Linked DNA regions of Sus scrofa. The protein of the gene in region 4 purifies or fractionates together with the protein of the main gene of each other region. This does not show direct contact. Links are inferred from orthologs where the notes say so. Each region holds a gene or a part of one and is shown on either strand. Other genes may lie near its edges.

Evidence for each region.
Region 1: the proteins of STK25 (region 4) and PPP2R1B purify together in Homo sapiens (affinity purification with mass spectrometry; 3 studies listed by BioGRID and IntAct, with this or other methods). This does not show direct contact. The link is inferred for Sus scrofa from reciprocal best matches to the Homo sapiens genes STK25 and PPP2R1B.
Region 2: the proteins of STK25 (region 4) and SLMAP purify together in Homo sapiens (affinity purification with mass spectrometry; 5 studies listed by BioGRID and IntAct, with this or other methods). This does not show direct contact. The link is inferred for Sus scrofa from reciprocal best matches to the Homo sapiens genes STK25 and SLMAP.
Region 3: the proteins of STK25 (region 4) and CAB39 purify together in Homo sapiens (co-immunoprecipitation; 3 studies listed by BioGRID and IntAct, counting the BioPlex papers as one, with this or other methods). This does not show direct contact. The link is inferred for Sus scrofa from reciprocal best matches to the Homo sapiens genes STK25 and CAB39.
Region 5: the proteins of STK25 (region 4) and CTTNBP2 purify together in Homo sapiens (affinity purification with mass spectrometry; 3 studies listed by BioGRID and IntAct, with this or other methods). This does not show direct contact. The link is inferred for Sus scrofa from reciprocal best matches to the Homo sapiens genes STK25 and CTTNBP2.

The regions. Positions count from the first base shown.
Region 1 is NC_010451.4:39,511,676-39,516,477, forward strand, and holds part of PPP2R1B (serine/threonine-protein phosphatase 2A 65 kDa regulatory subunit A beta isoform), read right to left. Parts: coding exon 4,734-4,802; intron 4,072-4,733; coding exon 3,971-4,071; intron 714-3,970; coding exon 481-713; intron 217-480; coding exon 69-216; intron 1-68. UniProt on the Homo sapiens protein: The PR65 subunit of protein phosphatase 2A serves as a scaffolding molecule to coordinate the assembly of the catalytic subunit and a variable regulatory B subunit.
Region 2 is NC_010455.5:39,704,757-39,709,558, reverse strand, and holds part of SLMAP (sarcolemmal membrane-associated protein), read right to left. Parts: intron 4,028-4,802; coding exon 3,910-4,027; intron 1-3,909. UniProt on the Homo sapiens protein: Associates with the striatin-interacting phosphatase and kinase (STRIPAK) core complex, forming the extended (SIKE1:SLMAP)STRIPAK complex.
Region 3 is NC_010457.5:131,564,871-131,569,672, reverse strand, and holds part of CAB39 (calcium-binding protein 39), read right to left. Parts: intron 2,830-4,802; coding exon 2,661-2,829; intron 1-2,660. UniProt on the Homo sapiens protein: Component of a complex that binds and activates STK11/LKB1. In the complex, required to stabilize the interaction between CAB39/MO25 (CAB39/MO25alpha or CAB39L/MO25beta) and STK11/LKB1.
Region 4 is NC_010457.5:140,146,836-140,151,637, forward strand, and holds part of STK25 (serine/threonine-protein kinase 25), read right to left. Parts: 5' UTR 2,775-4,802; coding exon 2,460-2,774; intron 1,956-2,459; coding exon 1,899-1,955; intron 1,450-1,898; coding exon 1,341-1,449; intron 754-1,340; coding exon 596-753; intron 520-595; coding exon 1-519. UniProt on the Homo sapiens protein: Oxidant stress-activated serine/threonine kinase that may play a role in the response to environmental stress.
Region 5 is NC_010460.4:28,493,009-28,497,810, reverse strand, and holds part of CTTNBP2 (cortactin-binding protein 2), read right to left. Parts: exon of another isoform or gene 2,699-4,802; intron 2,067-2,698; coding exon 410-2,066; intron 1-409. UniProt on the Homo sapiens protein: Regulates the dendritic spine distribution of CTTN/cortactin in hippocampal neurons, and thus controls dendritic spinogenesis and dendritic spine maintenance.

The sequences.
Region 1 (4,802 bases), on a different chromosome or scaffold from region 4:
GGGTTCACTAACCACTGAACCATGACAGGAGCTCCTATTGCTCTTTTAATTACTAAGAGTTAACCTACCTGTTCATCTGAAGCTAGATTAGTGAACAATGGCACAATTTCACTTTTCACACTGTCCAACTCCAAAACTTTCGCGAATTCACCCAATTTGGAAGCAGCAGCACGTCGTACCATTGGTGTATCATCTGAGCATAAGGAACGGAAGTGCCTGCAGCAAATAAAATAATGAAGGTATTTCCTGTCAAATGCCACTGATCCCCTAACACAGAGAGAAATTTTAGTCTTCTCTTACAAACATCAGGGATTAGGCCTCTACTCATAGAAGTAAAGAAAAACCCACTGGTACAAACAAAAAGTGATGTCATCAATCCATCTACCCTGATATCAGCCACACACTGTTAACAGGGTGCTATGGAACTTGTCAGCTATGAGCTCCCAATAGCCCCAAGTAACAAAAAACACCATATCTTACTGTCTAATTTCTGCTTTGACAGCATTGGAAGCCCTGGGATAGCAAACGCTGAACAAACCACATGCAGATGTGCGAGAAGTGAACCAATCCCCACTCGCCAGGCGTTTCACCAGAGGTACAAAGTGAGCTTCCAGAGCGACAGGAGTGTGCTCCTGGGAGATCTGCCGCAGGGACTCCACGGCTTTGTCCCGAACCACAGTTTCTTCCACGGTCGCCAGACTTTCCAGAGGAGGCTGAATAGACCAAAACGAAAAACCAGAGAAGAAAACGTATTAAATCAGGTTAGGTACAGATTATCAGCTTTAAAGTGACTGAAGGGAGGTGGTACATGTAACCAGAATGTTAGCTACATCACACCAAATGGTTACTTTCAGTTCACACAGTGATAACATATGGTGTGTCCAACCTGAAGACACGACTTCTGTAGGACAGCCAAGATCTCGTGTCCCAGATGGCAATTCCCAGATGGTGTCTACAAATGACACAGTGGAAGAAACTTGACACAATATTAATGTTACTGTGAGCTGAATCATTAGATTTAAAAGATACGTATCCAAATTCAGACAGGATCGTGTATACTTCCCCAAGAGTAAGTGCAAAACCATGACCCACACTGGGCACCACAATCACATGATGACATCTCGCCAGGACACTGCGCCCACAGCTTTGGAGTATGACTCCACCATTCCTGGAGGCGGAAGCTACCCTTGTCCACCAGCTCCACACAATCAACTTATCCAAGCTATAAAGGGCTGAGTACAAAATCACTTTTTTCAGAATATATTCAGAATCTTTTCATGAGCTAGACAGAGTGGGAGTTGCTGAAAGAACAATTAAATGAAGAGTACAGAGACAGCAGGAAACCTTGCTTGCAGCTTTAGAAATGAAAGAGACCAAAGGGGTGGTCTGGACTAGGATCAGAGAGTGAATGACCTGGTCCAGTGAAAAGCAACAGCAGGCTGGTTCTCTGAACCTTTGCCTTTCTGGGTTTGCACTTGGTACAGGTAGATTCCACATTCGCCACAAGGTGCAAATGTTAAAGACAAAACCCACACGTAGAACTGACCAAGAGAGTGAAACAGAAGTATGAGCCAAATGAAAGAAGCACGAATAATAATATATTTCAAAAATTATGTGACACACAGAGGTAGAAAGTAGTCAGCTTTCCTAAGAGGTATTTCAGAAGCCCTTTGAAAAGACATTGCTTGCTTACTTGCAAACGCCTATCATGATCTCTCCCCTGCCTTCTCTGACCTCCTCTCATGCAATACCATTGGATAATCTCTATCACTACATCAGGATAAGGGCAAGCTCCTGAGAATCACATGCAAGTTTTGTTTCTTGATTTGAATTCTATTTCCCCATGCCTTTTTCCTATGGCCCCCAATCACCCACCATTTCCACCTACTCCAGCACCAACACTTCATATTCCCACAACCCAAGTGGTTCCATGCTTCCAAGGCTCTTAAACTCCATCTTTTGAAATGATAATTATTGTTGTATTCTAGCACAGAGGACAGAGAAGAAACAAGGACCCAATCTCCTTGCTCTAGTGGGGTTTACATTCTAATGAAGGAAGAAAAATCAAGAAAAATAATGATAGGAGTTCCCATCATGGCGCAGTGGGTAACGAATCCGACTAGGAACCATGGGGTTGTGGGTTCGATCCCTGGCCTTGCTCAGTGGGTTAAGGATCCGGCACTGCCATGAGCTGTGGTGTAGGTCACAGATGCGGCTCAGATGTGGCATTCCTGTGGCTGTGGTGTAAGCCAGCGGCTACAGCTCCAATTTGACCCCTAGCCTGGGAACCTCCATATGCCATGGGAAGCAGCCCTAGAAAAGGGGAGGAAAAAAAGACCAAAAAAAAAAAAAAAAAGAAAAAGAAAGAAAAAGAATTATATGGTATTGGAGTTACCTGTAAAGAAACAGAAGAGGATGATATGATAAGGGGTGACCGGGAGGCAATTTCAGGTTAAGTGGTCAGGAAAGGCCTCTCTGAGATGCATTAAAATTGATATCTGAAAGACTAGGAGCCAGCCACAGGAAGCTCAAAGGAATATTTTACTAGAGAGAACACCTACAGCAAAAATATTAAAGTAATAAACTTGGTTTATTCCAAGAACAGAAAGCAGACCATTGTGAATGGAATGAGGATATCTAGAGGAAACATGATATAAGCTCATAGAGGCAAATTTTGTAAGCTAAGGTACAAGTTAAGACAGAAATTTGGACTTTCTGAAAACCATGGCAGGAAGTGAGTGATCCACCTGCTAGGTGAAGAGTGCACTGTAGTGATGGATGGGAGGCATGAGTGGAAGGCAACTAGTTAGAGAGTTACTGCAGTAACCTAGAGGAAAGATGATGTCGTCTGGAAAGATTAGAGGAATGATGAGCTAGGCAGTGGTAGGGATGGAGGAAAATGGATTGATACGTAATACATATAGAATCTACAGGAGTTACTAATGGATTTAGATGTGGGAAATGAGAGAGAGAGAATTCAAGAATGTCTTCTAGGCTTTAGTTTGTCCAACTAGGTAGATGGTGATGCCATTTACTGCCATGAGGCAACAATTAGGAGGCATATTGGGGGAGAAAACTGAGTTCTGTTTTAGATAAATTAAATTGGAAATGTCTATTTGACATCCAGCTGGAGAAGTCATACACAGATATATAAGGAGATAAACATAGATCTATATCTGTCTTTCTCTATGTCTATCTGGAGTTCCATGGAGAGGTCAGAGGCAGAGACAAAACCCACAAGAGTCAGCAATATAATACAGAAAACAATTAAGCACTGACATATAGATCCCTAGCCTGTCCAACTGTCAAATTCCTAGACATCCTTCAAAACCTAATTCAGACATTCTCTCCCAAAAGGTCTTCCCTGATCACCCCCGGTTAATCCCTTTCTCTTTTCTATTACTTGGGTACCTTGTATGTGTTTCAAATTTTTCCATCTAATACCGCACAGTAATTATTTGTTGACACATAAGGACAGAGACTTCTTTCCATTCAGCGTTCTTCTTTACCATTTAATGCTATAACTTCAGTGCCTGATATGATAGGTTCTCAACTGTCAACTACATTAAACTGAACTCATCAAATTCACAGTTAAGTCAGAAGCAAAAGTTACGCTTACAGTTAAGGACAAAACTAATGAATGTTTCCAAAGCCATAATATTACTAGATGAGAATTAAGATTTCTAATATCAGGGAGAAAAAAACATAAACAAAAACAATCAAATTCTTTTTCTCCCAATCTCTAATAACAAATAAGTCTAGAGGCAGAAAAGAGGAAGAAGTTCTTATATTCATAGTCAGAAAAAAATAAGAGTTAACTGAATCCAAAGTGCCTACATAACTGGCTCTCAATAGCTAACACTGACTATCCATAAAAAGATCTGCATAAAAAATGTTGCAGTGTGCCTATCGCCAATGTATCATTTATACTGCAAAAGTTCTAGAAAGGCAGTAGACAGAATATACTCACCAGCAAACAGTGGGCAAAGTCAGGACCTCCGACCAGGCCAGTGAAATTTCCCAGCTGCTCAGCAAGAGCTAAGAGTACTTCATCTTCATCATAAATTGTATCTAGAAATGACAACAACCCAGTACCCATCAACAAGGAGATCTAGTTCAATTGGACACTCACACAAAACTAGGAATAGACTCAACATGTAACTAGATGGTCCTGTCACAATCCTGACAGCCTTTTTTCCTTCTCAGTCAAGAGTCTTCATGGATCTATTTTACAGGATAAGAAGTTCATAATCCAATAACAATTACTTTCTATGAACTAAAAGTTAATGTCTGAATATGTCTGGCCACAACATTACAATATGCTCTGTCCTGTTTCTTCTGCATTGAAAGCATCAGGCTCAGTTTAGTACTTACTAATGATGTGAGTAACAAATTCTTTAAAAAACAGTGAACGTTTTGGAGTTCCCATCATGGCACAGGGGAAACGAATCCGACTAGGAACCATGATGCTGCAAGTTCGATCCCTGGCCTGGCTCAGCGGGTTAAGGATCTGGCTTTGCTGCGAGCTGTGGTGCAGACTGCAGATGTGGCTGGGATCTGGCATTGCTGTGGTATAGGCTGGCAGCTACAGCTCCGAATAGACCCCTAGTCTGGGAACCTCCATGTGCCACGGGTGCATCCCTAAAAAGACAAAAGACAAAAAAAAAAAGTGAAAGTTTTGAAAGCCACTAGAAAATAGAAATGCCCATGCCTTTCTTCAAAGAGTCACATACCTGTAAGGAATGGCAGCAGTTCAGTTCGCGTTCTTTCTACTCCAAGTGCTAGAGCAATTGTTGATAATT
Region 2 (4,802 bases), on a different chromosome or scaffold from region 4:
AAGCCTTCTAAATGAAAAGAAGGCACATATTCCAACTATTTTCTTTAAATATTTGACAAATAGGATGAGGGATAGAAACTTAAAGCTTAAGAGCCACTTCCAACTTTAATAAAGATAAACCTACTCAAGTGAGAAGACATCAAACCGGGGGGACAGTGCGGGACAAAGAACCAGGAGGCTGGGTTCTAGACCCTAGCTCTGCCATTATTTAGTTGTGAGATGTTGAGCAAGTCGCCTAACTGGTCACATTTCATTCTCTGAGTAAGCATTTCCTGAGCTCTTAGATCTGTCCTAGATACCATTTTGCAGGCACAAATAACACAAGGAGAGTCTTAGTGATCTCCACTGTCAAACAGTAAGTTTGAACCCAAGCTGTTTTCCATGTTTTTTTTTTTCTTTTTTTGTCTTTTTGCTATTTTCTTGGGCCACTCCTGTGGCATATGGAGGTTCCCAGGCTAGGGGTTGAATCGGAGCTGTAGCCACCAGCCTACGCCAGAGCCACAGCAAAGCGGGATCCGAGCCACGTCTGCAACCTACACCACAGCTCACGGCAACGCCGGATCCTTACCCCACTGAGCAAGGGCACTGATCAAACCCGCAACCTCTTGGTTCCTTGTCAGATTCATTAACCACTGAGCCACGACGGGGACTCCTGTTTTTTTTTTTTTTTTTTCTCCTTCTTGTTGTTGTTTTGGCCACGCCCTCGGCATGTGGAAGTTTCTTGACCAGGGATCAAAGTCGAACCACAGCAGTGACAACACTGATTCTTAACCCACTGTGCCACAAAGGAACTCCTTTTTCCAGCTTAAACTCTATGATTACTTTTACAACTTGATGTAAAAAAAAAAAATTGATTTACACTCTAGGAAAACAGCTTGAGAGGCATGAACACAAATTCTTTGTTCACTTCCTTCTAAATATTAGACAATAAAGAACAAAAGACCTGTATAGTGTAGCTACATTGAAGAATTTGGCTCCCATCTAGATGGCAGTTTTACACTCTTAGGATGGATCATAAGACTCAGTCTCAGTATTGTAACCAAAGTACTATAGCGTATAACTCCCATGCTGACTGGATGCTAGGCAGATCCTAGGGTGTGAGTGTAATGTCAGGACAGTATGGCTAGGCACTAAATGGCATGTAAGACCCCTGTAAAGGAAGACTAGCTTCTTAATACTACTTATATTCTGGGGGTGCTCCACAAATAAATTTAGAGAACTATTAAGCCAGAAAAGTTTAAAAAACAGAATTAATATGTCTTAAATAGTCATGTGAATTTAGATAGATAACTTGATCAATGTTTTGTATATTTCACCTTTCTGGTGCCTAATATTTTTAAACCATATGACTTAAATTCATAAGGAGTATTTTACAAACTAAACAAAACTTGAATTAAAAAAATAACATTTAACAATCGCCAGATTCCAATTAATCATATCTCAAAATTAAGGGATCAAGTCTGAACCCCTAAAATATCAAAAATTTCAAAAAAGAATAATTTAAGAGGAGTCCCCTGGTGGCAGAGTGGGTTAAGGACCTGATGTTGTCACTACTGTGGCTTGGGTTTGATCTGTAGCCTGGGAACTTCTACATGCCGCCGTAGAGGTGGTCACAAAAAAAAAAAAAAAAAAAAAAAAGTAAGATAATACTGGTAATCAAATATCAGTATTTCTGGCTTGATAGAATACAAAACTAAATGGCTCCAAATGAATTCCAAATATGAAGAACTTGAGAACATACATGTGTATGTGTATGCCTGTGTGAGCACATTTATTTATTTACTTATTTATTTATGTTTCAGGTCTTTATTTTGTCCTATTCATATTCTGAAATTGCTTTAAACATGCATTTGTCTTATTCTCTATTATTAATTAACATTCAAAAGTAATGCACATAGAACAGACTATGGAAAGACAGGACATTGTAAGAGAAAAAAATGCCTGAAAAATACTGATATTGAGCACATATGGTATAATAAGGAGTTTTAGAGAATAAGTCAGCACACCTTGTTCCTTCAACTGGTTCTTGATTTTTTTTTTTTTTTTTTTTTTTTTGTCTTTTTGCTATTTCTTTGGGCCGCTCCCGTGGCATATGGAGGTTCCCAGCCTAGGGGTCCAATCGGAGCTGTAGCCACCAGCCTACGCCAGAGCCACAGCAACACGGGATCCAAGCCACATGTGCGATCTACACCGCAGCTCACAACAACGCCAGATTGTTAACCCACTGAGCAAGGGCAGGGACCGAACCCGCAACCTCATGGTTCCTAGTCGGGTTCGTTAACCACTGCGCCATGACGGGAACTCCAGGTTCTTGATTTTTTAAATATATAACTAATATTACAGTTGTCCCTGTTTTTATGAGATAATGAGATTACTATTTTCTGATAACTCATGTTGATAAGTCTAGTCCTTTTTTTCCCTAAAGCTTGTTTCCTATGGGAACTGACCTTGATCACTGAGTTTTTGCTAACCTTAATGCTCTTTAGGAGTATAAACACAAAGCTAACAAGAGAGCAATGACCCCATTTTTGGTGTACTGTGGGAGGGGAGATGAATTAATCAAGAATAGCTTCAATAATTGGAGTTCCCGTAGTGGTGCAGCAGAAACAAATCCGACTAGGAACCATGAGGTTGCGGGTTCAAGCCCTGGCCTCACTCAGTAGGTTAAGGATCCAGGGTTGCCATGAGCTGTAGTGTAGGTCGCAGACACGGCTCAGATCCAGCGTTGCTATGGCTGTGTTGTAGGCTGGCAGTACTAGCTCCATTTAGATCCCTAGCCTGGGAACCTCCATATGCTGTGGGTGCAGCTCTAACAAGCAAAGCAAAAAAAGAAAAAACGAAAAAAAAAAAAAAGAATAAAAAAAATAGCTTCAATAATAAACATATACTACTTTCATATTCTGGATTAGAATGTAAATAGAGCTTAAATTAAAAAACATGTAATGGATCAAATTTTTAAGGAAGAAATAAATTTTAAACTATACAACAAATGCTGATGAAAAATAGGACTCTATTGAATTTGGTGCAATAAATCTACTGCATTCATTGGTTTGCCTTAAGGTACTGGATATTGGAAATATTTAACTGGTTTTAAAGAATTTTTGATCTTATACATTATCACTCTTTATATAACTGTTTGAAATTCCAAAAAAAAAACCACCCCAAAACCAAAAACAAACAAAAAATTCCAAGGCTGAATTTTATCTTTCAATAGTATCAATTCTTTATCACAGCTATCTTCTTCTTCTTTTTTGTCTTTTTAGAGCAATACCCATGGCATATGGAGGTTCCCAGGCTAGGTAGAGGTCTAATCGGAGCTATAGCTGCTGACCTACACCACAGCCACAGAAATGCCAGATCCCAGATCCGAGCCTCGTCTGCTACCTACACCACAGTTCACGGCAACACTGGATCCTTAACCCACTAAGCAAGACCAGGGATCGAACCCGCAACCTCATGGTTCCTAGTTGGATACATTTCCATTGCACCATGACGGAAACTCCTATTACAGCTATCTTCTGATCACCCTCATAAACAGAAGGGATCATTCACAAGAAACAAAGACAAACTTAGTTTTTGCAATTTATTATTATTTAGTTTAAAGGGCAAGTTCAGTCACTAAATATAGATCTTTGCTGTTTGTCTGTTTAGGGCTTTAGGGTGGAAGAAGGGGCATTTAATGAATCTGTATTCCATGAGTACACCAAAAGGAAAGGATGTAGGATGATGGTGGTGGCAGAAAAAAATGCTGATGTAGTCATTTAACATAGTTAACCTGCCAAATAGCCAAAAATAGCCTGGCTAAATATTTTGTTCCAAAAACCTATTTAAGTATCAAAATTAAATTTAATTTAGATGAAAATTTAAGATAAAGAAATATTCTGAAACTAAAAAAGAGTTCTTGCATACTTGTGCAATTCTTTTTCTTGCCGCTGTAGTTCTGATGATAGCAAAACATTTTCCTTTCTTAGAGAACGGCATTCGGTTTCCAATACATTCCATTCCTTTCTCAACTTCTCTAGTTCACCTAAAGTAGTCCCAAAACACATCTGTTAATATAGGAACATAACTACTTTTTTCCCCCTTAATGTATATTTTATATGACCATTTTTCAATTCCTGTTACTTTGCAGTTATACCTCAGAGAAATTCCCAACACCTTGAACCTCAGTAATATTTTTTTCCCCACTTCACTTTGTAAAAAAAATTTTTATTGGAGTATAGTTGACTTACAATGTTGTGTCAGTTTCAGCGTACAGCAAAGTCAATCAGTTAATACATATATCTATAGTTTCTCAGATTCTTTTCTCATATAGGTTATTACAGAATATTGAGTATATTTTCTTCTTCTGTACTAGTAGGTCCTTGTTAGTTATCTATTCTATACATAGTAGTGTATATATATTAATCTCAAACTCCTAATTTATCCTTCCTTGTCACGTTTCCTCTTTGGTAACCGTAAGTTTGATTTTGAAATCTGTGAGTCTGCTTCTATTTTGTAAAAAAGTTCTTTTGTATCATTTTTTATTAGATTCCACATATAAACGATATCTATATGATATCTGCCTTTCTCTTTCTTCACTTAGTATGATTATCTCTAGGTCCATCCACCCACTTCACTTTTATAAGACAAATAATTTTTAATAGTATTTAGGTAAAAGGTATAATTAGAAAAATTTTCAATTTATTGTAGAGCTCATACACCTGAGGAATGTTTCTAGCCCCAATACAAAAACACTGCTTTATACAACCAATTGTTATCAAAGAGAAAATTAGCCTGAATGGTTATTTTGTATAAGATAT
Region 3 (4,802 bases), about 8.6 Mb from region 4:
AACAACCCCGACACGCTAGTATTATTTCCTACAATCTGACAAATGAAAAGACTGAGGTCAAACCAGCAGCACAGCTGGGAAGCGAACCCAGGCAGCCACGCCTCAGCCCTCTGGTCCAGGGGCATCTATGAGATTAGTATGGCTGGACTACTCTTAGTGAATCCATGCTGGCTGTGGGTACACGGTTTCCTTTCCAAAATGCTCAGAAAGCATTTCTTTAGCAATACTTTCTAGCACCTTACACAGGTATAACATCAAGCTCCAAGCTCCACCAGCCTCTCTGGGGAATCTACCTTCTCTTACTCTGGAAAATTGGAAATATATTTGTTGGCCTTCCGATGCCCCCTCCTCATCGCCTTAATTCTTCAAAACAAACAAAAAATCGTGAACAAGTGTTTGGCCACTGATTTACTCTCAGTAAATAGTATTCACTCAAGCTCTGAGTCCCGGATGTATTTTGAGCAGGCAGTTTTAACCTCCTTTTAGGATTCAGCATCTGTTCCTTGGACATTAAATCCAGGGTTATGGACGAGCCGCATTTGTCTGAAGGTGCAGAGTGCATTTTATCGGAAGGCAGCTCTGGTCACATTCTCAAAGGAGAGCATGAACCAAGGATCTGTTCTTTCGCATTATACACAGATTCTCTTCAAAAAGGACCCCGCACCCCAGAGGAGGAGTGGACCTCCTCCCCTCCCTGTCAGCACCTCTGGTCCTTCTTTCTCCCCACGCTGCCCAGACTTTGAAGGGAGGGCTGGGAGGCAGCGTCTTCAGTCTGTTTGATAGGCCTGTGCCTCTGCTATGCTGTCTTAGTTTGGGGATCTACCTAATTGTGCTGCTTGGAGAGCTCTCTGTTCAGGGGCCTCTTTAACTGGCTCGCTCCTTCCCAGTCATCAGGAGCGGCTGAGATACAGAAGCCAAGACCGCTCCTCGCTGCTCTTTCTAGAGCTCATCCTCAGCATCCTACGGTTTTCAACATTTCCCTTTCTTGGGCAGAGAATACCGCCTGGCTGTGCCCAGTCTTCCCCTCTCTGGCTCCCGTGACCTGACAGGGTTGCTTCGCCCACAGTGATCCTGCCACCATCATTTTCTTCTTGGTGAGACTTTCATTCAAAGAAGCAGCTTAACTGAGATGAAATGATCGGCAAGGCCAGTGAGGGCTGTCAGACACCTCGAATCACACTTCCGGCATGTAATTTGCACATCCCCCTCGCCTCTTGGCCAGTTTTGCCATCTGTGCCAGGAGCTTGTCATCTGCGCCCTTCACCTGGTCAGGCGGCCTGGCTGCATTCTCTCAACACCACTGCCACTCCTCTGCCCTCGGCCTCCTGCTCCCGGTGTCCCACGCTCAGGCTTCTGGCTTTCCTGCCACCCGGGAGTATCCCTTCCCAACGTGTGCTGCTGCTCCACCTCCCTCCAGAACGAGTCTGCTGCTTTTGAATGGGGCACACCCCCCGTCAATAGATCCCGGTCACAAGTCCCACCAAGAGCAGTGACACCTAAGACGTCATATTTACCACTGCGTTATGATCCCCAATTCATTTCATTCTGCTTCATAATTAACATTCAAAGCTCTGAGGTCTTCCTGAGGCCTTCTGACATCCTCTCTAATAACCCCGAGGCACCTCTCGTGTTATCATCTCATTCCCATTCAATGGGAGACCCCAACAGCCAGGTCCCCAGGCTTTTGTTCTATTTTAAGGGTGTTCATTTGCCCTAAGGGATAAATTTTATTCAGAGACCAAGGCGTGTACTCATTATCTCAGTGACTCTTTATACAAAACTGGACCCTCACAAGAAAACTGGCCACTTCTTACTCTAACAGTGTTTGTGGTTTCTGAGCACAGTGGTCTGCAGGTTAGTGTATTATATTCTGATTATATAAAAAGTGCAGTTCAAAGTATTTGCTTGTGAGGTCAGATATTTTAAATAAGGGAATGTAACATGTAAAGGCTTGCTTTCATTGTGAAAAACACTAATAAAGATTACTGATTTACATACCTTAAACAGCACAGACCCCTGGCATTCAAAACCACAAATGTGTAGCTTGTACAGTGCTATCATATCATAGGTGTATTTAATTGATACAAACATACAACAGGGAGATCAGGTAGGCAGGGCAGGGAGGAACAGTGCCAGTGACTCTGCACCCCCCGCCCCTCCATGTGTAATAGATAAGCTCTGGCCTGAGCTTGACATGGGGGAGGTAAGGCCACTGGGCCCTGGGGCCTGGCCACAATACGGAAGTCTCTGTCCTGAATGTGGTTCTAGTATTTAAACATGTATACTCCAAAGTAACCCGGCCCTGAACAGAAAGGCCAACTACTCTGTCTGGCGTTTAACCAAAGAAACTGCCACAGCATATTCCAACACAGAAGAAAAATCTGATTTTTATATATACTGCATATCTGTATATTGTCCTTGATAAGAAATTTAACAGAACAGTGTACTTTTGACCATAGAGGACTTCTGTCTTTTAGACAGACTTTAGAATCTTAACTTTTCCAACCTTTTAAGCTGTGACTCTACTGCAAATACCCGAGTCACACGAACACATGTAAAATATATCTGCTCTCTCCCACTAGAGGGCAGCCGTGTACAGACTTGGAGGACAGAGGAGGTTTAGGAATAAAGTCTATAGTTAGAATTCTAGTTTCTGTTACCTTGAATGTGGCAAATGCATCTGAAGCTATGTCAAATGTTGACATTTCAACATATCTGAAGAAATCATAAAACTGTTCTGACCACAAAATGATTTTTGCAAGTGGTTCATGTCTGATGCACTCTCTTAACATTATCCCACAATTTAGAGCTATTTCTGGAGATTCATACCTGCAAAAAGAAAAGACAAACATAATTGCTTTTTCATTTTTAAAAAAGAAACTCTAACACGGAACGGTTCTGATTTTCAGAAAAGGAAGTTTCAGACGTGTCCTAAGTGGCCAGAGCAGGTGACAAAATGCATCTCTCTCAGAGCAGAATAGGTGCTCGGAGGGCTTTAATCAGAGGGCACACACAGGGCAGTTGGTGGTGGCTGCTTCAACCCAAGGAAAAGGAACAGTCGAGAGGGATCGTGTGAATAAAAGCTCCGGATTTAAGCTAAGAGAACTATTCAGGGTCAGACGTCCAAATCGGGTTTAGTTTTACACATGGTGCTCTCAACACTGCAGAAAAACTAACAGCTGAATCAAAATCAATAGGAAACAAAATAGTTTCCTAAACTCATAGTAGCTAAACAGGTCTATCTGATAGACCTATACATAAACAGCATTCATACTTTAAATATACATCACTGCATACCTCATTGTTTCAATTCAAGGCTCAAAATAGTACTTTCAAGATTCCTGGCAACACGCAAGCGCCGCGAAGCTGAAAGCCCAAGGCGAGGGCCCTCCCCACGCAGCCCTCCTCTGCGCCCACCTCTACGCTCTCGCCTCCTCCTCCCCTGGGATCACACCGAAAATCCTGTACTTCTTTCGGCCCAGAAACCCTCTCCGTCCGGATGCCCAAACCTCTTGGGCCGGACCCTGCCATTCTGCTCCAACGCGTCGCCCGGTGCCTCCACTTCCCTTCAAGCGCACGCACAGGTTTCGTCTCTCACCGTGTCGCCTCGTTTCCCGTCATCAGACTCCTTCCTACCATTCTACCAGTGAAGGAAGACCTCCTCGTGGCTAAAACAGTCGTGTCTCAGGACGGGAATCCTGCCACTCGGCCTCCGGACAATGCAGATCGCTGCCTCGCCCTCTTTAAAGAAAGAACCACTCTCCCCCGGCCCCACTTTCCCACTTGCTGGGTTCCCACGTCTTGCCTGGCTGAGGTCTCTCCTCTGCGGCCTCCACACGCCCTCGGGGTTCCCACCACAGCCCCCAGATGGCCCCTGCGCAGATCTCCCCTCAGCTGGAGCCGAGCATTTTCTGTTGCCGCTTCCGGGCACCTTCAGTTAAAGGCCTCCCGTAAACCTGCCGTGTCTAATTTGGCATCACTGTTTTGTTTCAGGTGCCTGGGTCTAAACAGGTCTAAGAGAACTTTCCTTGATAATGGAAATGTTCTGAATCTGTGCTGCCTACTAAGCACTTGGGACTTGGCTCGTGTGACTGAGGGACTGAATTTCAGAAGCTACTTAATCGAGTTTAAGATTAAATAACTGCGTGTTATTAGCAGGGTCTGGATTGGACAGCGCAGTTCTAACCCTTCGCCTCTTTATCCTCCATCTACTCCCCTCTTCCCACCTTCGGTGTCACCACTCCTTCTTAATACCGCTTTGAAATACCTCAGTTTCATTTCCTTTTATCTGTTCTCACTGCTGCATGAAGTCACATCTGGTCAAGCAAGTGCCCCCCAACCCGCCTCTTTGTTCTGTCTTAACACATTTACTTGAAGCACAAGTACAGCAATAACCTCTCCAGCTTAGGAGCTTCAAACAATTTCTTCTTGCTAATCAGACAGACAAACGTCTGGGCTTTAATGCCCAGGCCTCTGCGCATCCTACCTCCTCCTCTGGGTGGGCACCATCTCCCACTAGCCCGCAAAACACCCCGATTACCCCCTTATTGTTGCCAGTCACCGTGTCCATTCCTGCCTTGTACTTACTCTTTTTTTTTTTTGGCCTAAGCCACTTCTAACTATCTGGAGCCTCAATCCTAAATCCAACCATCGCTGTAACCAACCCTTGCCTTATTGGTTAAACCCACATTTTATCGCCTGAAATCCTACAGGAGTGTTACTTAGCATTACTCTTTGGTTGCACACATGGTCGTCACAGAGCCTCGCAAGACCAGAGCGGCGTTCCTCATGTCACTACGGCA
Region 4 (4,802 bases):
CTCGGTGAGGAAGGAGGTCTTCTTGGTGTAGCGCGTGATGAACTTGTGCTTCAGCAGCTCCTTGGCGGTGGGCCGCTGCGGGACAGACACGGTGGGCGGGCGCTGGGATGGGCGAGCGCGGCCCCTCCAGCTGCGGCCCGAGGAGCCTGGGCCCCGCCACCACGGCCCCGGGAGGCCCCCCACCCCGCGACTGCCGCTGCCGCGCGCAGAGGGCTGCTCCCTAGGGCCTGTTCCGGAGCAGTCGCCAGGAACCGTGTGCAGCCCCTTGGGCTCCCCCTCGCCCACCTCGTGGGGCCAAGGCTCTGGCGGCTGCCCAGGGGGCAGGGGGCTTACAAATCGGGGGTCCTTGTTGAGGCAGGCCTCCACGAACTCCTTGAAGGGCTTGCTGTGGTGGCCCTCCAGCGTGGGGGGGCTGTTCTTGGGGATCAGGAACAGGACGCGCATGGGGTGGAGGTCAGAGTTCGGGGGCTCGCCTTTGGCCAGCTCGATGGCCGTGATCCCCAGCGACCAGATGTCCGCCTGACGAAGAGCCACACGGGGCCATTGCATCCGGGCGCCGCGCCTGCCGCCCCCACCCCTCGCCCTCTGCGCCCACCTTGAAGTCATAGGCCGACTGCTTGATGACCTCGGGCGCCATCCAGAAGGGGGTGCCCACAAACGTGTTCCTCTTGATTTGCGTGTCCGTGAGCTGCCCCGCCACGCCGAAGTCCGCCAGCTTCACGTCGCCCTGCTCCGAGAGCAGCACATTGGCAGCTGCTCGACACAGGACAGCAGGGAGTCACCTCAGTGCCGCACGGCCCCACCTGGCCTCCTAAGCAGGGCTCTCCGCCCTCAGAGCCGTGGCAACGGGATAGTGGCAGGTGCCTGCAGCGTGAGCCCCCACCCCCGCCCCACAGGTGCCCCCGGGCACCCGTGTTCACCTCACAAGAAAAATCCCACGAACAGAGCCACTGCCCTTGCCCCGCAAAGGGCTCAAGAAGCAGAGGGAAGCCCGACTCTGCCCCTTGCTCGGCCGGCCACCTTCCATCAGCCCCTCGACCTCGCCCTCGGAGGTGGCCTGGCCCGTGCACACCAGCACAGCTGCTCTAACCACCCCTCACACTCAGATCCAAGATTGCAAGCCATCCAGTTTGGGCCTAAGTAGGGTCCCGCTTACACCAGGTGCCGAGCTGGCTTCCCAGGGAAAGCAAGTCCTATGCATTACTGGCAATGTCTTCTGGAAACAGAGCCAGATAGAGCTGCTCAGTTCCCAGGGCCACAGGGAGGACAGGCAGGGCGCCCTGAGCACCGCCAGTGACGCGCCCCACCCAGCGAACCGCCACTGCCCGCCCCGGAGGGACCTTTGATGTCTCGGTGGATCTTGCGCTCCGAGTGCAGGTAATCCAGGCCCCTCAGGATCTCCCGCAGGATCGTGGCGATGTAAGTCTCCTCCAGGGGCCCCGGCTTAAGCTGCAGACATGGAGGAGACAGCAGGGCCTCGGGCTTCCCGCCACCCCAGACCCAGGGCCCAGGCCTGGCTCAGCCTCCTCTCCAGCAGGGGTGGGCTGAGCCTGTGGGTGGGAGGGACTTCCTATTTCTGGGGCCACTTTTGAAATCAGAGCTTCGGGTGCCAGGTCAGATGGGTGTGGAGCAGGCTGTTTTTTGAGAACAGACACCACCTTGGCCTGGGCTGTAAAGGTAACGGCTGAGGAGGAGGGCCCAGGCATGGCCCTGCGCCCCCCCCGGGGGGAAGGACTGTGGGCAGCAGCAGCACGTCTGGCTTAGCCAGGTCCTGATGAACCTCCAACACACAAGGCCAACGAGAGGCGGCCACAGGCCCGCCAAAGCCAAGCCCCCAGACAACGTCCTCAGTCCGTGCCCAGCCCTGCGGCCGCCCACTGTCGTGGCCCGCGCCTCACCAGGTCCAAGGCAGAGCCGCCGCCCAGGTACTCCATGATGATCCACAGCTTCGTGCCCTGGGCCAGAGAAGCGCCGGTCAGCACGTGGCAGCAAACACGGGACAGGCCAGGTGCACCACCCCGCCGCCCGAGAACCCCAGGAATGGGCCCCCGCAGCCTCGCCTGGCTCCCCTCTCGTCACAGCACGGCAGACACTGCAGTCAAACCACGCTCACCACCCGCCAACAAGCAGGCGGGGAAGGAGCGCGGCGGGCACGCCTCCCGGCACCTGCACACCAAGCCCCCGGGGAAGGGCTCCGGGCTCCAGCTGCGGGGCCCCGAGTGCGCCCAGCAGGCCTGGGGCCATCCTCCATCCTTGCCGCAGGAGGCGGCACAGCCAGCCCAGCCGGGACCTGCCGCCGCCCCACCCGCGCTCCCCCTCAGGGCACACGCGGCCCTGGCGGCTGTCATTTCTTGGAGGCCCAGCTCTGCCGCCCTCGCCTGTGGGGACCGCTCGCCCTTCCGACCAGGCCCAGGGGAGGGCAGACGGGCGGGCGCCCGAAGCACCCCCCGCCCAGGCACCTTCAGGTAGGAGCCGAAGTAGCGCGTGATGTAGGGGCTGTCGCACTGGCTGAGCACCGTGATCTCCTGCTGGATGTCCTCGATCTCGTCCTCGGCCTCCTCCAGGTCGATGGTCTTGATGGCCACCACCTCCTTGGTGCGGTTGTCGATGCCCTTGTACACCTCGCCGAACGAGCCCTTGCCGATGCGGTCGAGCTTGGTGAAGAGCTCCTCGGGGTCCACGCGGGGGTGCTGGGGACACGGGGCGGGCCGCGCTGACCCCGAGCGCCGGGAGCTCACGCGGCTTCCTGCCTTCCTTCTTTGATCCCTTTCCATTGAGAAACCCGAAGCCAAAGGCAAAACCCCCCCCGAGGGTGTGGGGGGGCCCGGCTCTGGCCAAGAGTCCGGGCCATGGGGCAGCCAGAGGGGCCACGCAGGCCACGCCGGACCCGCCCACACCCCACGCGTGGGGAGGACCCGGTGCCCCCCAGGAACGGGTTCAGAGGGAGGAGTCGGGGGAACACCGGGACCTGGACGGTGCTGGCACCACCCAGGGCGAGCCTCGCAGGCTGCAGACTTGGTCACAGCACGTCCACGCTTGTCACCCACTGTAACAAACCCCCGGGGGAGGGGCGATGGACAGGTGGAACCAGCTCACTCATTTCCCTTTAAACCTACAACGGCTCTGAAAAATAAAGGCTATCAATTAAACAACACCAACTGAGTCCTCCCTGTGCACCTGGAAGCCACACCCCTCAGAGGCCCCTCCAAGCCCCCAGTCAGTCCTGGGGACGGCCACCCCCGCACACCAGGACCCTGAGCTAAGAAATGACTCCTTGATGGGCGATCCTAGGTGTTGGCCTTTATGGAAAACTGCGCCCCTGGTCCTCAGGGCTGAGCCGTGGGTGCAGGGGGCCTGGCAAGACGCAGGACGGTCCCACAGGGGACAAGCCCGCTTTTGACCTTGACCCTCAGTGGGTCGGGGCTGAGACAGCGCAACTCGGGGGCTGCGTGGAAGACACCAGAGCCTCTAGGGCCACCCTTGGTGTTCCCCAGCCCCACCCAAGTGGCCCCCTGAGGGCACCTCACCCCCTCCGCCAGGCTACTGGCCATGTTCTCAGAGGCCCAGCAGTGGCCCAGGGGCTGGAGCCCAGGGACCTGCATGGGGTTGGAGCCCCAGGCAGGGCCTGTGAAGGGTGGGCGGGGAGCCTGGCGTCCAGTCCCGATGGGGGCAGAAAGGGCTCTCTAAGCCCTGCAGGCCTCACACCCAACAGGACACACCTCCCTCCAGAGAGGCTGCCCCCACGCCTCAGCAGTGTCACCGGACGTGTCTTGGCGACCACCTGAAGTGGCCAGAAGCAAAAAGGCCAAATCACAACTGGCTTTGCTGTGGAAGCACCGACCGCTCTGGAGCCAAGGGGGCCCAGCCCTGGGCAGCGCACTGACCTCGGCACGGCCAGCCCTTGGGCTCAGCCCCAGGCGGGCTCCGGACAGAGGCGGCACACATCCCACGTGCCAACAGCTGCCTCCCCAGGTCTGGAAACAGAGGGGCCACGTGAGCCCAAAGAGGGCCTCGTAGGGGGAGCCAGCGGGGCCAGGCGAGCAGGGAGGGCCGAGGGCCAGGCCCCGGCATGGTGGGCCGGCCTCCATGAGGTGGCCAGAGCCAAGGTGCCCACTCGCACCTCCCCCGCGGAAGCTGCAGCCAGTGCAGCACAGGGCCAGGTGGCTGCCACCTGGGTTCCTCAGGCCACCCGTGAGGACACTTTCTCCCCCTGCTACGCATATTCTGAAAGTCCCAGCTGCTCAGCTGTCTTTGGGGTGGGGACCTCGAGATCAGAGCCCCGCCCTGAGTGGCCAGCCTCAAGGACTCTGCGAGCCTGTCACCAGCATGAAGACTCACCAGCATGAAGACGGCCTCCCACAGAGACCAGGAAACAGCCCCCGCCCGCTTGCACCCCCCCAAACCCCTGGGCACTGGGCCCAAATGCCACCTGGCCCAGTGCCCCCACGTCCCCTTCACTAGGCCCCTGAGCACCCAGCTAAGTGCTGGCCTGCAGGGCCTCCACCCCCAGCTCATCCAGCCAGGGCTCCTAGAAACGGTGCCTCTACTTCCAAGGGGGCCTCAGAGGGGACCTGGAGGAGGTGGGACCGAGGCCGGGCAGCACTGTTCCTCGGGCTTTCCGGGTTCCCCTCCCACCCTCAGGCCTCCCTCTTCTCACTGCAGCCTGCACTCTCCACCCCAACGGCTTGACGAGAGGCACACCCAGCTGGGTGCCCAGACCTCCACGGCTCCTGAGGGAACTGGGCAGACCCCTGGACCAGGGGCTCCAGACTCAGCAGTGGGGGGAGCTCTGGTCCCAACGT
Region 5 (4,802 bases), on a different chromosome or scaffold from region 4:
TTTCAAATGTCATCTCAAAAGGGACAGAACTGAACACATACTGTCGGGTGATGGCTCACTCATAGTGAAGTCTTGGGAGATAAATATTTAATAAGAAGGAAGAGCCTTTCCTCCTTTCAGGCTCTCTAAATTAATGGTCTCCATGTGCTCCAAACCACTACTTTTAGGTTATTTTAAAAGAAGAAAGCACTTAGATTAACAAAACCACAATTCTTATAGCAAGATGAATCACCATACCCTGGAGCCTTTAAAGAAAGACACAAAAAAAGAGAAGAAAGAAATAGGGGGAAAAAAGTACCAAATTAAAAAAAAAAAAGTTTCAATGCGATGTGAAGGAAAGGAGGCAAGTGAGAGGATAGGAGGACAGGCCACATTCTTAAAGAAGGGTACAATATTCCAATCCCTTTACCTGATGCTGTTACCAGGAGGCTGTCTGAGGCACCTGCTCTACAGGATGAGGCACTAATTGGGTTTATGGAAGAGCAAAAGGCAATGGTGGTGGGAATGACAAGGGAACTTTCTGAACATGCAGGTTGGTTCAGTCCAGGGGTTTCAGCAGGCCAGGCACCCACCTGAGACGTGGCCAGGGCTGAAACGGCACAGCCTGCAGGTGCCACAGTTAAATCTATGGATGGTTTTGGTGGCAGCTGAGGGGAGGAAGATTTAGGGAGGTTCTCCTCATTTATTACCCTGATCCCTTGTGGCAAAGTGGAAGGAGGCGAAGCCACAGTTTTGTTATCAACCTTGGCCCCTGCACTGGGGGCCCTGCTGCTATCCATGATAACCTTGAGCTGGGGGTGTGGTGGAGAAGGAGTTTGGGAGAGCCCTGGCTTTTTTGGAGGGATGGGAGGCGGGTTTCCTCTGTCAACTCGTCCTACACCAGAAGTCTTTAAACTGGTCCGACCAACCAGGGGGTAGGTGCCAGCGTCCCCCGTGGGGGGTGCTCCAGGCCTTGGGGGAGCTCCCGCTGGAGGGCTTGTAAATCTTGATAGTGCTTGGGTCACGGTATTCCGAGCTAGCTGTTTGGCCACTACGTTGTCACGACTTGTAGGAGAGACATCTCTGGACGGAGGGCTTTGGGTTGTGTTCCCATTCTGGTCTGGGTCATTAGCATTACCCTGAAATCTAAATCGCGCCGCCTGGATGCGCGGGTTCAGACCTGGATGCAGAGGCGCACCGGCACACGGGGAATGTAAACTGTGTGGAGGCTGGGCTGGTGAGCAACCCTGGGGAGCTGGGCCTGGCGTGTGCACAGTGGGTGGGGCGGCGTTACTGGGGAGTGGGGATGGGTTACTTGCTAAATCTGATGTTGAGCCAGTGCTCGGTCCATTTTCCTCAATTCTGGTTGTACTTGGAGGTGGGGCCACAGGCAGAGAAGAGCCAATCAAGTCACCATGGGAAGCCTGCCTGTCGATACCTGGTCTGACCAGGGCGGCACCTGCGGACACATTCCCTTTAGCATTTGCGGAAACTAAGGGGCTCCCCGCGGCAGGCTTTACAGGCACCGTCAAAGGCAGCTTCTTCAAGGGGTCAGCATTTTCTGTTACTAGGTCTGTCTGGCAAGCAACAGATCTTGTCATCGGTCCTTCTGTTCCCACAGATATGGAGACCAGACGTCTATCTTTGGTCTTCCGGGGAAGAGAGAGGCTGGGTTTGCTGTCATTTCCCCTTTTTAGTTGCTCAATCATCTTCTTCATCTTGTCTATCTCCTCTTTGAGGTCAGTGGTGTGTGCTTCCTCTCGGTGCAGCTTGGCACGAAGCTGTTCCCGCTCCGTGTCAAACTCTGAGAGCTGTTTTTCCATCTGAGCTTCCATTTCTGTGCTTCTTTGTTTCTCGGCAGAGAGTTCCTCTTCTAACACACTCATCTTTTTCTTCTCCTCTTCCAGTTTGGCCATCACCTCTTCCAGCTTCTGGGCCTCCTCTATGACTCTGCCTGAGAGCTGCTTGCACTCCTTGACCAGCATCAGGACCACATGCTTGTTTTTGCCTCGCTCCTCCTCCAGGCGGGCGGCCAGCTTCTTGTGCTCTTGTTCAAGGGCTTGGAGCTGAAGCTTTTCCATCTCCAGCTGAAAGAAATTCACAGGACAGCTCTGATTAGCAGGCAGAAGCTTTTTTTTTGCCCAAGAAGTGGAGAGATTTTCCTTAATTTTTAAATAATTACGTGGTTTGGGTTACCTAAACTGCCACATTTCTGAAATGTGTTGTGATATGACAGACATTGTAGAGGCTCATTAAAATGAGAAAATAGACGTTAAGTGGTTTTATGAAAAACATCTACAGCAACAGAGAATTTTCTAATGTATTAAAGTTAACCACATAAAAGAACAGTAATCTGATGGTTCAAATCACAACAAAAGAGTTCAGAAAGGTCTGCTTTTGTAAAAACAGAACTCTATTAGGGAACTGGTGTGGGCTTTTTTTTTTTTTTTTTTTTTTTTTAAGGATTAATGCCTTAAAATTATTACTCTGAGATACTATATAATGAAAACAGAAGATTTCGGTTAAAGTTTAAACTGTACTTATTACTTAGCTTTTCAAGAAATCTTCTTTGAGTTTATGGTAAGTTGCTATAAAAATCATGTAAAAGCATATGTGAAACTTCTTTGAACTTATATATAAGAAATGTCTTATAAAAAATATAATCAGTATCAGTGAACCCCCACGTCTTACCTCATCTCCTCCCTTCCATCCCACTTACTCACTCAGCTCCCAGGACACGGTCTTCCTGGCGTTTCTTTAACATCACCCTGCCTCAGAGTCTTGGATCCTGCTACTCTCTCCGCCTAGAAATGCCACCACGACCTGTCACATAGGGCTCCTGCATGAAGCGGTTTGCGCACTGCATGAAGGTGACTGGCTGTGGGGTTGAGAGGGTTAGGAGTGGGTTAGCCCAACCCTGTCTACTCCCCACGCTGTCTGCCCAGGCCTGGGGCTGCATCTGCCTGAAAACAAGGGCACCTTTTCCTTCACAAAAAGGCTCACCATGGTACAGGCCCCTAGGATTTAGGCTTTCAAAGGCAGTATTTGCCTAATTGATTAACATAGGGAAGGAACTTAAAAAAAAAAAAAAAAAACTCTTAATAACTTCACATGGGGTTTTCTAATATGCACAAAAATACCCAACAGCACAGGCGCCTGGCTCCTTCACGTCTTTGCTCAAATGTCACCTTCACAGTAAGGCTTCCACCCCTAATCTACTATATGAAATTTGGTGGGTGACTTCATAAGTAGATTAGGTAAGATTTGGGGAACAATTCTGCTATTCTATACTAGATTTATATTTTATTCACTTGGACACCTCACAGAAAATTGGACTTAAGAGTTGAAGCCTATTTAACTCTTCTAAATGCATCAAATAATAGGTTGTTTGGAAGGCAGACAGAAAGTTCTATTAAGAAAATATTGAACATGTTTTGTATTACCCCCTCCAAGTTCTTATAGCAACCTAGGAAAAAGCACAAATTAACTTTCAGCTTATTTTTAAAATATGATTTTCATAATTTACCCGTGAAGGTGGGAAAAAGTTGTTGCAGAATTTAAGGGCTACTTGCATTTTACAAAACAACTAACTAAAGGCCAGGTTAGTGATTTCCCTGATGTCATCCAGTTAATCAGTGTCAGGATCCTGGCACTCATTTAGGGCTCTGCTTGCCTCAAGTTTTTCTCACCGCATCACATGTGCTGCCCACAGCAGTTCTTCCCTATGGGTCGTCACACTTTATTTATGAAATGCTAACTTTCATCTTACACTTCAGGGTCAAATTAAAGGACTTCCGAAAGGATATCAACTCAACTAAACCCAGAATCTCATACAGAAAACTATACTCCTATAAAAGCACCCATACGTTTCCTGTATCTTTGTTCTTCCATCACTCATGCCTTATAAATCCTGTCTCAGACTAACACGAGTCTTTTTAATCTCACTGCAGATAGCAGAGCACAGAGGAAATCACAATAATTGATGCACCTACATCACGTGACTCCAAACCCAACCGAGCTCTGAGCCCCAGTCATCAATCATTCTCCCTAACTCTGTTTGGTTTCCTCCACCATTTGCTCCTTCAGGGGATATTTAAGCCTCTGCCACTCTCCCCAATACTTCGCCCAGTCACCACTCAAGTCACTCTCAGTCTACCCTACTAGACTCTTATCAAGAAAATTCAGAACAACTCTCTCCCTTTGCATCCTGTCTGCCCCCTTAGGCTTTTTTATAGTCATACCAACCCATACGTCCTTCCCGTCACTCTAAGAGAAGAGGTTTCCATCTGCTTAAGTTCAGACTTTCTTCAGCAATTAACTTCATTATCGCCTGTCACCTCTGAGACTTGGCTCAGCAGGTTAAACGTCTGGTGTGTTCACTGCAGTGGCTTGGGTTGCTGTTATGGCGCGGTTCAGTCCCTGGCCTGGGAACTTCCACATGCTGTGGTGCAAAAAAATAAATAAAGAAAGAAGAATGATGACCTATACTGGTATTATCAGACAAGGACCTTAAAGCCCCTCTTTTCAAAGAAAATACAGTCACAGTGACTGCACAGAACTAGAAACAAATGGAAAATCTAGAACTGAAAAGTATAGTATCTAAAAACTTTTTAAAAGTTCACTGAATGTGCTAAGAGAAGGGGGAAAAAAGAAGAATTTGAAATAAAACAAAAGAAAATATCCAGTTTGTGGAACAGAGAAAAAAATGACTGAAAAAGTGAAGGCACTTCCGTGACCTATAAGACAACGTTATTAAATTCCACATACCTGGATTTTCAAAAAGGGAAGAGAAAATGGGGAATAAAAATATATTAAAGGAAAAA